Linked DNA regions of Drosophila melanogaster. The protein of the gene in region 1 interacts with the protein of each later gene in a pairwise test. Each region holds a gene or a part of one and is shown on either strand. Other genes may lie near its edges. The genes, in order: Tsp42El and Osi15.

Region 1 (5,328 bases):
CATAACAGTTCGCTTGACTTTTGTTTGCGCAATTCGTTTGAAGAGCCCTCTAGTGGTCAGTTTTCTCCAACGCACAACATCACTGAAAAAAACTATCGCTCAACTTCAGTAAAATGTTTAGAGAGGTGGCTCTAAACACGAAGTTTATGTTGCTAAAAGAAAGAATATTTTCATATTCCGATGGATGTGCCCGCTGTAAGGAAAGTGCATGGATAGGAAAAAAAGAAACCGCTTTCGACTATTATATACCCTTTACACGAATCATTGGAGAGAAACATAAACATATATATGTAAGCCTTAACGCTTTTGCTTCCAACTTTTTGTTCCACATGTGCTCATAATTTGTTTTTGCGTGGACTAACTTAAAACATTTTATATAGTTATCGAGAACGTTCATACGGACGGACAAACGGACGGTCAAGGTGAAAAACTCAAAATATTTTGTATCACCGGTATCGCGAACCTATTTTGAAATCTTAATTATTGTCGAAAATATTGTTGAAAGTAATTTTTCTAAATATATTTGGTATTTTAAACGACATGTGTTTGGTACTTGTAGTTATGTACATATTATTTTAATATTCGAATGTGTTAAACATTGCTTTAATAAAAAGATTAACTCAGTTGCTTGGCAAGTAACGCTGGGTTTTCGTATCAAAAACAAACCATACACTGATGACACTTAGATTTGAGGAGTTTGGTTTCTTATTCAGTAAATATTCACTAATAGTTATATCGTCTCCGCCGGTTGGTGTAGTGAATGGCCAAGATGATGGCCAGCAATAGAATGACAGCCTATAAGAAATAAAGAAATGAGTTAGAAATTTGCTCCACCGTAATAGAAATAAAGAGCTCTTACGTTGAATCCGAGCAGACCCCACTCCAAATAGCCCAGAGTGGTTGCCTCATCTGCAAAAGCCTCCTCCACTTTGATGAGGCAGCCGCGCACATATAGATTCAGTGGATTCACACAGCTGTCGTCCTTGCAACAGCTACTTGGAACGGTATTGTTCCAGAATTTGATATCCAAGTAGTCTTGGGCACTGTCGCGGCCACAGCAATAGTACTAAAGTGATAGAAATATATAAACACCAAAATTAAAGGAGAAGGCTAAGCATACATAAATATGTACTTCAGCAGCTTTGCGCAATTTCTAATACTACATTATTAGAAATAAACATAAGCTAAAGCGTTATATTCAATTCAAACCATGTAAGATAACACTAGCTAAAAAAGAGCACGGCCCTAACGCCTATCTACCTTTTGCTTATGTACTTATGTATATAACAAAAAAAATTCCAAATTAAAGCACTCTTTTAATCTTTATTTTGGAAGCATTTGAACAAACAAACTAGCCTTTGCTTTGTTACATTGGCACTCACCGTTTTCTGAATAATATCCATACTGCCAGGCTTCGTCTGCTCCAGCTCCCACTGATTCTCCACCGTTTGAAGCGCGTACTTTTTAAATACATCTTTGGGATTCAGGATGATAAACGCCACTATAAGTAGCAGCAAAATCAGCAGCAGTGACGCATACTGCAAGGCAATTAGAATTATTAGCTCATGTATGATTCACCTAATTGCAATATTCAGTTACGTACCGTCCAGAGCATGCGCGGCGATTCGCGAACGGCTCCACAGCATCCAAACAGGGATATTACCAGGATAGTACCGCCCAGAATTAAGATGCCGATGGCATATGCATCTGGCATTGCTCCCCAGCCAAGGCCGCCAAAGATGAGCACCAGGATACCGAGTATCTAAAAGTCAGAAAATTAAATAGTCAATAAATATGTCCAGCATCCTCTAAATTATGAATATTATCTATCTATGTAAAAAATTGCCAAACAAAATTGGGTTTATAATCTCAGACCGCCTAGCCCTAAAAGTTTTTATAAAACACACATGCATAAAAGCAAAGATTAAAACAAGTCGAGTTCCCCGACTATCAGATACCCGTTACTCAGCTAGTGTGAATGCGAACGCTAATTTTTATATTTTTTCTGGAATATCGATAGATATTGGGGAATAAAATGAGAAAATTTAAAAATTGTTCAAAAGCTTGGACAAGCTCGATTTTGTGGGCGTTAGAGTGGGCGTGGCAGCATGGGTCAGCAAACTTACGCTGCGTCTTTGTCGCTAGAAGCTGCATGCTGAATCACAACCTTCTAGTTTTTATTGTTCCTGAGATCTCCATGTTCATACGGACAGACGGAAATGGCTATAGATCGACCTGTTCAAGCAAATATAGTATACGCTTTTACGAGTAATAGACGTAATTAAGAAAACAAAAAATGTCTCTTAAATTGTTTGAGCGACTGCGTTTTGGAATCATGACAACATTTTTTTAAAAGCGCTGAAGTGGGAAGTTCATACGGACAGAAAGACAGACGGACAAACGGACATGACCAGACCGAGTTGGCTAGAGAGTGTGATTAAGAATTTGTATACTCTCTAGGGTCGAAGAAGAATTCCAAAAGGATCAGTCAACAATCTATTAGGATTGGGCTTACATCAGACCATCGCGGCCTTGAGAAGGCCACAGAAAGTTTTGATGCATATGGGCACCGACTAATGCGTCGAGCTCGGCCTCATCGCTATTTTCATCATTATCTGGTGAATAATCCGGTTTCCATATTCCGCTCGAATTAGCCTTTCAAACGAAATCCGAATGCATGACGCACTTCAGCAACCTCGTTTCGCCGCTTGGCTAGCAAGCCCTCCTCTTGGCTTAAGGAACTAAAAGGCCGAGCAGAAGCCATTAACAATAGACACTGGCTAACACACACAGCCAGCCGCGAAGCGTTGTCATAAACCAAACACGCACCCGAGATGATATCATCCACCGACCAGGTGGACGTGGAACGGACAGCATAGACCCCAAACACCGAGGCTCCCCTCACACAAATTTCAAACCATCGCAATTAGCTGGCTATTTGTAGAAAAGAACCGGCAGATACGCAGATATATCGCTTAGACTCCCAAGGCACCATATGCCAATTCCAATTCGGTGCTCTACTTACCGCCCATAAGGCATTGAACAGGAACAGCGAGTACTTTATGGTGCCCGTTGCGCAACCCATTTCGAATGTTTTTCCACTTCAAACTTTTGCCTTTGGCTAGAATGCAACCGAATCGCAGTGCCACAAGTGCGGCAGTTTGCTGTGCCGCCGATTATTTTCAGTTTTTGAGTCCGTATCGGCGGAACCTGACTGAATCGGTTAGGAGTGCGCACTGGTGCGGCCACGGTCACGAGCAAACTGAGCTCCCCGAAAACTCTCTCGCTCGGAATCCGATCCGAGTCGAGCGGTCCGAAGCTCCAAAGCTGCCGCTTCTGCACCGTGGGTTCAATGAATAGAATAGCAGCTGTTCATGGAGCACCAAAATTATAGTGACGAACACTGCTCCTAATACTTAAGGCAATGCAGAGTGTTTCGGCACGAATCAAATGATATGGACTTCCTGTACGAATATGAAATACGTAATCAATTTTTAATCAAATATCTTCTCTAAGCAAGCTCTACGAAATTGATTCTTTTAAATTCATTTTCACAATTGAACAGTGATTGAGTTAAAATGATGTGCCCCACAGTGCCAGCTAGCAGTGTTTGTTAAAGCAAACAAAAGCAGCCGGGCACACACATTACTATACAGTAGAACCTCAATAACCCGCTCCCAGACGATAGCAAAAGTTCATTGCTTATTGTATTGATTTTCGTTGATACCATAGATGTTATTAAAATGAGAGGTTACAAAATATATCACTATCTTGTTATATTGATTTGTCAATTAATATACTTCGAGTGACTAAAATCCATTTAGCCGAATTCGCCTGCACTCGCAGTAGGCAAATCAAGAAAGTTAAAGGTGGCGGTGGCACTCTAGTGCGGCTCCCGCCATTCGGAAGCCAAACAGAAACTGAGGCGGGAAAGTTCGAAGCGTGGAGCTGGTTATGCTTGACAGAACTGAAGCGAAATCTATATGTCTCCGTTTGCCAGATGTTTAGCCGCGGTGTGTGTCTTATCGAGAGCGGAGTTGGGTCTAATCGACCACCGCCTCTCAAAGCAATTTACCAACGATCGAATTAATGCCGGTAAGATTGATTCAGCTCGATTGCGTCAGACACTCGGCACTGAATGACGCCATCAACATCACCGGATGAGCTCAGTTTCCGATGCGGAGTGCAGGATCCTGACTTCCACTATCAAAATAGAAACCCTAAATGCATTGCTCACTTTGTGTGAATCTTAAAAGTATAGGAGCTATATACCGAAAGACAGCTGAACTGACCCTGTTAGGCAAATACATAGTTACAAATACAAAGTTACTAGTTTAAAAATCACAATTTTAATCAGTTCGGATTGAACCCTTTGTATAATCGGAAGTATTCGTTTCATCGGGATACGCTTTTATTTCTCCTGGGAGCATCAAAAACTTTATACAAGATTACTGTAAAGGAATATTGGCGCCCTAATAATATATTCAGAATTCTACGAAAGTATTCCTTAGTAGGTGTAGCGAACGCGCTGCTTCCTGAATCTTCCGACCAAGTAAAAGGCGGCAATCATCATTAGAATCTGTAAAAACTCTGTAAGATTAGTCCCTCCATGTGTAGTTCACACATTTCACTCACGGTTATTCCCAGTGCTATCCAGTTGGTATCGTGGGCGTAGCTGAAGAGCACCACAAAGTTCTCACTGGACTTTTGGACGCAACCAGCTAGATAGTGGGGCATCTGGGGGTCCTCCTGGGGATAGCAGCTGGGCGGCAAGGTTTGACGACCGATGGCCACGTAGTCGTCGGGGCTATCACGCCCACAACACTCGTACTGTTAAGATAATTCATAAAAATGATAAACGATAATGCCAGCATATTAAATATATTCGATTAAAAGTGCATGATGCGAATGATCTTCGCCAGAATACGAACCACTGTCTGGTAAATGTCCATGGCGCCGGGTTCCACCAGCTCCTCGTCCCATTTCATCTGAACCTCCTCGGCGGCGAACTTCTCTATGTATTCCTCAGTGAACTTGAAGCGGAAGATGCCTAGCAAGCTGATTATTAGCTGAGCCAACAGCAAGAAGCCGTACTGTTGACATACAACACACAACATAGAGTGAGTGAATTACCAAACGGATGACATAGCGTTTCCACTCACCGTTGCGGTCATGCACACGTTCTCCATGCAGATTCCACAGCATCCCAGTACAGCCGAAACGAAGATAATGCCACCGAGTCCATATAGAAACAGAATGTAGGCGATAGGGGCTTTCGAGAGGGCCAACGTTGCAATGGCTATCAGGGATAGACCCGAAAGCTACAGA
Region 2 (4,553 bases), on another chromosome or scaffold:
GATACCCATTTTTTATGGTCTTTATAGATTTAAATGGTGAGCCAAGGCTAAGGCTAAAAACACTTCATAATTAATGTTAATTATTATTGGAATTCTTACATAATTCCAAAAATTATGACAGTAAATTTAAAAGTGGTATAATAAGACATTAGAGGCATTCGGCATATAAGTTGTCATAAAAGTTAAGTAAATGTGAAAATGTATTTATAACTTACAATATCATTTTAGGGATCCCGCCAGTCCCGTTTCCCGCACGGGAAAATCGATGAGCGAGCAGGATGTCTATGCCGAGCTGCCCCAGAATGCCGATGAGCGTACTGGTCGTCTAGTGGATCTGGCCGTCTCTAGTGCCGCCGACTTCCTAAGCACCCACAACCTGGAGTTCAAGCTGCCCGCCGAGACCACCCAGCAGGTGGCTCGTGCCCTCGATGAAGGTGGGTTTTGACTTGGGATACGATAAAACATGGTTACCTAACATCCAATCACAGGCCGTGGCAAGATCAAGAAGATGCTGGGACCCGTGGCTCTGGCCATTGGCGCCAAGCTGTTCGCCGTCATTCCCCTGGTGCTCGGGTTTCTGGCCCTGCTGACCTTCAAGGCCGTGATCGTGGCCAAGCTGGCCTTCTTCCTGGCCATTCTGGTCGGCGGATCCCGCCTGCTGGGCGGATTCGGCAACAAGTTCGGAGGTAACTCCTTTGCCGGAGCCTACAACTCGAACGCATGGTCCGCACCCGCCAGCGCCGGCTGGAGCTCGGGAGCCTCCTCGTCCTATCCCTATGCCCGCAGCATCAGCGAGGATGGGTCCGATGCCCAGCAATTGGCCTACGCCGGCCAGCAGCAGCAGTAGAAGCGGCTGGGAGACAGCTCAAACAGATGTGCCTTCGTTTTGAAACCTTTAGCCTGTAGTAATTTATTCGAAATGTAATTAACTAATTTATTGACACACCACGCACACATCACCCGCAAGTCAAGTCGAATGTATGAATAAAACCAAGAGTATTGCACCCGAAAAAAATATAATCCGCAAATCCACGCACGTGGACAGTGCTCACCTGTGCCCAGAGACTTTCCCAGTTTCCCAGGGCTTAATTGAAATGCTGACAGACCCCAAAACAAATATGTGGAACTTTGCTCGCTGGGCGGCAACAAGTTTGCGGCTGGCAATTAAAACTTGTGGCAGGTTCTGTTTCTGAACACAAAAAAAAACCCAAAAGAACACAGAAAATGTTGAGAAAAAGAGCTGATAAGCTGGGGATTTAGTTTTTGGCAAGTTGGTGGCCTGCTCATAATTGGAGTTTCTAGTGGCCATGTGACGGCCGTTCGGCATGTTAATTGTTTGCCAGAAACTTTCTACTTATGCTCATAAAAGTGTCACTTTGCGATTGAAAAGAGATATATGCGGCGATGTGCTACAATTCAGCTTTCTTTCACAGGCAGATTTAGAAGCAATTGAAATAGAAAACAAGCCACGAACGACAGTTGACAAAGGGAGAATGAAATCGAAAGCGTTGAAAGCGCCAGAGTAACTAACTGGGCCAAATTGTGCATTAAGTCACCACCGGCGGGGCATACCAAATACGTGTGGGTCTCGCAGATCCACCACTATATTCTCCGCTCCATCGTGAGCCCTGATGGAGCTAATGGAGAGGAACAACCGGCCAAGAATCTGGCGCAGGCAATCCCAACACGTAGCACCGGCGACTCCATTGAATGCCAATTAGGATACGGATAACGGTCGAGCACCCGAAATCGGGCCACTTGCTTATATAAAATATATGTATGGTATATACAAAAAAATAATATTCAGCCGGCCGACCACTGGCCACTTCCCTTTCGTTGACATCGCGACGTGCGTGGAAATATGGTCAAGAAACTGCCGGCCAGGTAGCATACGCATATGCTTTGCATAAATTGCTTTTGGATTTTTGGTATTGCCGTTCGGTATTGTTATTGTTATTGCAGCGGCGAGCGGTGCGTTTTGGATTTTTGGCCTGCCACGCGATTTCTAGCCACAAAATTGGTCAATCGACGTCAAATCGAAATGGTATAAAACGCGGGGGCAGTGCATTCAATTAATCACAAAGCGATTCCCGTTCACATCGGCAGCACTCACCAGCTCCAGGCAGCCGTCCCACGGATTATAACCTACCCAAAGTCAAGACACCCCCAAGTGCTAATAAAAATGTGCGCGAAATTCGTATGTGTAGTGCTGCTGGCCAGCCTTGTGTGCGGTTCCATGGCCCTTCCCTCCCAGGACAACACCGAGCGGGACCTGGTCAACATGCTGAACCGCTTAGACAGCGAGGAGTCCGTCGCGCTGTTCGGCGGTCTGAGGATCGACCGGTCGGAGTCGGGCCGTAGCTTCGGTGCATCCAAGGCCGTCGAGTCCTTCGAGGACCGCGCCGAGCGCTACCTGGAGACCCACGAGCTAAACCTCTCCTTCTCCGGCGATGAGCAGGACGAGAACTCCGAGAACGAGTACACCGGACGCGCCATGGATGGTGAGTGATCTTGGTTTCCTTTATTTGAAAAACAGAATATAGTTTAATCCAAAGAAAAAAAAGCTATTTAAGCTACTTGCTTTTAAAGTTTTCATATTGCGTTGAATATCTTAGATACTTAATATTAGGTCAGAATTTAAAAATTTGTATGTTTTTGAGAGACATAAATCGATAGAATGGTAGTAAATACGTGAGTTGATAGCCAAAGAATTTTGAAATAATTTTAAACGAGTTATAAGTTACATTTTTATTAATTACTACAAAAACAGAGGCATTCGTGCGCATACGAGAATAGCTTTGGTAAACCGTCCTGGCTCTCAAGTCGTTCCTGTTCTGTACGGTAAACGAACACTTCAAAGTCTACTTACTAAGGCTAAACGTACTAAGGTCCACTCTGCTGTGCAGAAAGCCAACTGCCAAAAGCAAAACTACTAGCATACTCAGTTGTGCTGACGGGAAGCGAAGTGAAAGCTTTACCTCGACTGCCAGGCCTTGAATACTTTTAGGAGCATGGCTAAAACCCCGATTTCTCTTTACTTTCTCCCTCCCGGAATAAACAGAGTCCCGCAGCAAGCGCATGAAGAAGATGCTGCTGCCCCTTCTTTTGGCCCTGAAGCTGAAGAAGGCCGTCGTTGTCAAGATTATGTTCACCATCATCAAGTTCATCTCGCTGAAGGCTCTGGCCATCTCCTTCCTGGCCCTCATCCTGGCTGGTGAGTTTACTTTTAATGATCTCAGGAATAGCACTTTTTACCCACGTTTCCCGCACAGGTGCCACCTTCTTCAAGGATCTGTTGGCCAAGAAGAAGGAACACATCACCACTGCCTACATCACCGGCAGCCCGCTGAACGCCGACATCGTGCACTCCGACTGGAGCCGCAATGGTCAGGCAGGTGCCGCCGATCTGGCCTACAACCACTATGGTCTGGCCCAGCCCTTCTAAGCCGGAAAACACCCACCGATCCATCCATCCCACTCTGTACTAGCCTCTATCTTTCACCTGCTATATCTTATCCTACCAAAGCGTCTCCCTTCTTCAACTTCCCCCCACTTCATCACCATTTCCACAACCTATCCCTCTAAGACTTTCCTGAAGAATGGCCTAATTCGTAGTCAATAATTATTTAGTTACATTTAGTTAGTTAGCTGCGACATACCAAAAAAAATCACAAAAAAAGAGAACTATTGAAACGGTCCCTCGACTCTTGGCTAGCCCAAAGGACAATGCTTAAGGATACTACGGCCAATCAATGATTGCGCCATAATTATTGCACATTTCCCCATCCACATGTCTCTTGGCGGTCGTACATGTCACTCAGGTTCATCGAAAGCAACGAAGATTATGCCTGCTAAAGAGCTTACTTACTAAGTATTTATTCGTACAACTTAAAGCAATTGAATAAAAATGATTCATCAAATGCAAAACCATAGAATCTTTAAACTTTTTGCCCGAGTCGGAAACTTTGGAAATGTACAGGTATTATACTTTTAAAAAGGCAATGACTTGTATAATTTCCGGCTCAAAGCTTCCTTATTGAGTCTCAAAGGTATTTTCTGAAAAATCACTAGGAAGAGTGTGAGCATCAAGCTGGAAAGTGAAATTAGTGGCTTTTACTTAAACACTTTCCTTGAACCTCTTGCAAAAACAAATCCATTGAAGACACATTTCCACTTAATTATATTAGCAAAGTTGAGTTTGGGCCCGTGGCTTTCTTTGCGTCAACTTCCTAATTGATGTTTAATCAAATGTCCCACTTGGCGTTGGTATAAAAACACCACTCATGCTGACCAAAAGTCAACAGAATCAATATGAACGGCTTAAGCAACAAACTCATTGGCTGTCAGATTAAATTCGCCTTGATTGTTGGCCTTTTGGTATCCTTGGCCTGGGCACTTCCTGTCGAGGATGATGGAAAACCCCTCATAACTGAAGATGATGCTGTGAACACCGAGCAGCCAATCGAAGCTGCCCCTGTGGTTGAGGAAGTGGAAAATGTTGGACAGCTCCGATTCCCGCCTTTCAATAACAATGGAACCAAATTGTTCGAAAG

The links.
Region 2: the proteins of Tsp42El (region 1) and Osi15 interact in a two-hybrid assay, tested with the Drosophila melanogaster proteins (one large-scale study listed by BioGRID).

What each region holds. Positions count from the first base shown.
Region 1 is NT_033778.4:7,043,711-7,049,038, reverse strand, and holds Tsp42El (tetraspanin 42El), read right to left. Parts: upstream 3,271-5,328; 5' UTR 3,086-3,270; coding exon 3,026-3,085; intron 1,763-3,025; coding exon 1,604-1,762; intron 1,539-1,603; coding exon 1,383-1,538; intron 1,067-1,382; coding exon 860-1,066; intron 796-859; coding exon 724-795; 3' UTR 501-723; downstream 1-500. Other genes in the region: Tsp42Ek (tetraspanin 42Ek), read right to left, coding at 4,508-4,579, 4,636-4,830, 4,932-5,093, 5,163-5,321.
Region 2 is NT_033777.3:6,299,731-6,304,283, forward strand, and holds Osi15 (osiris 15), read left to right. Parts: upstream 1-2,073; 5' UTR 2,074-2,182; coding exon 2,183-2,501; intron 2,502-3,061; coding exon 3,062-3,214; intron 3,215-3,272; coding exon 3,273-3,445; 3' UTR 3,446-3,923; downstream 3,924-4,553. Other genes in the region: Osi14 (osiris 14), read left to right, coding at 229-434, 489-847; CG46396 (uncharacterized protein), read left to right, coding at 4,312-4,553.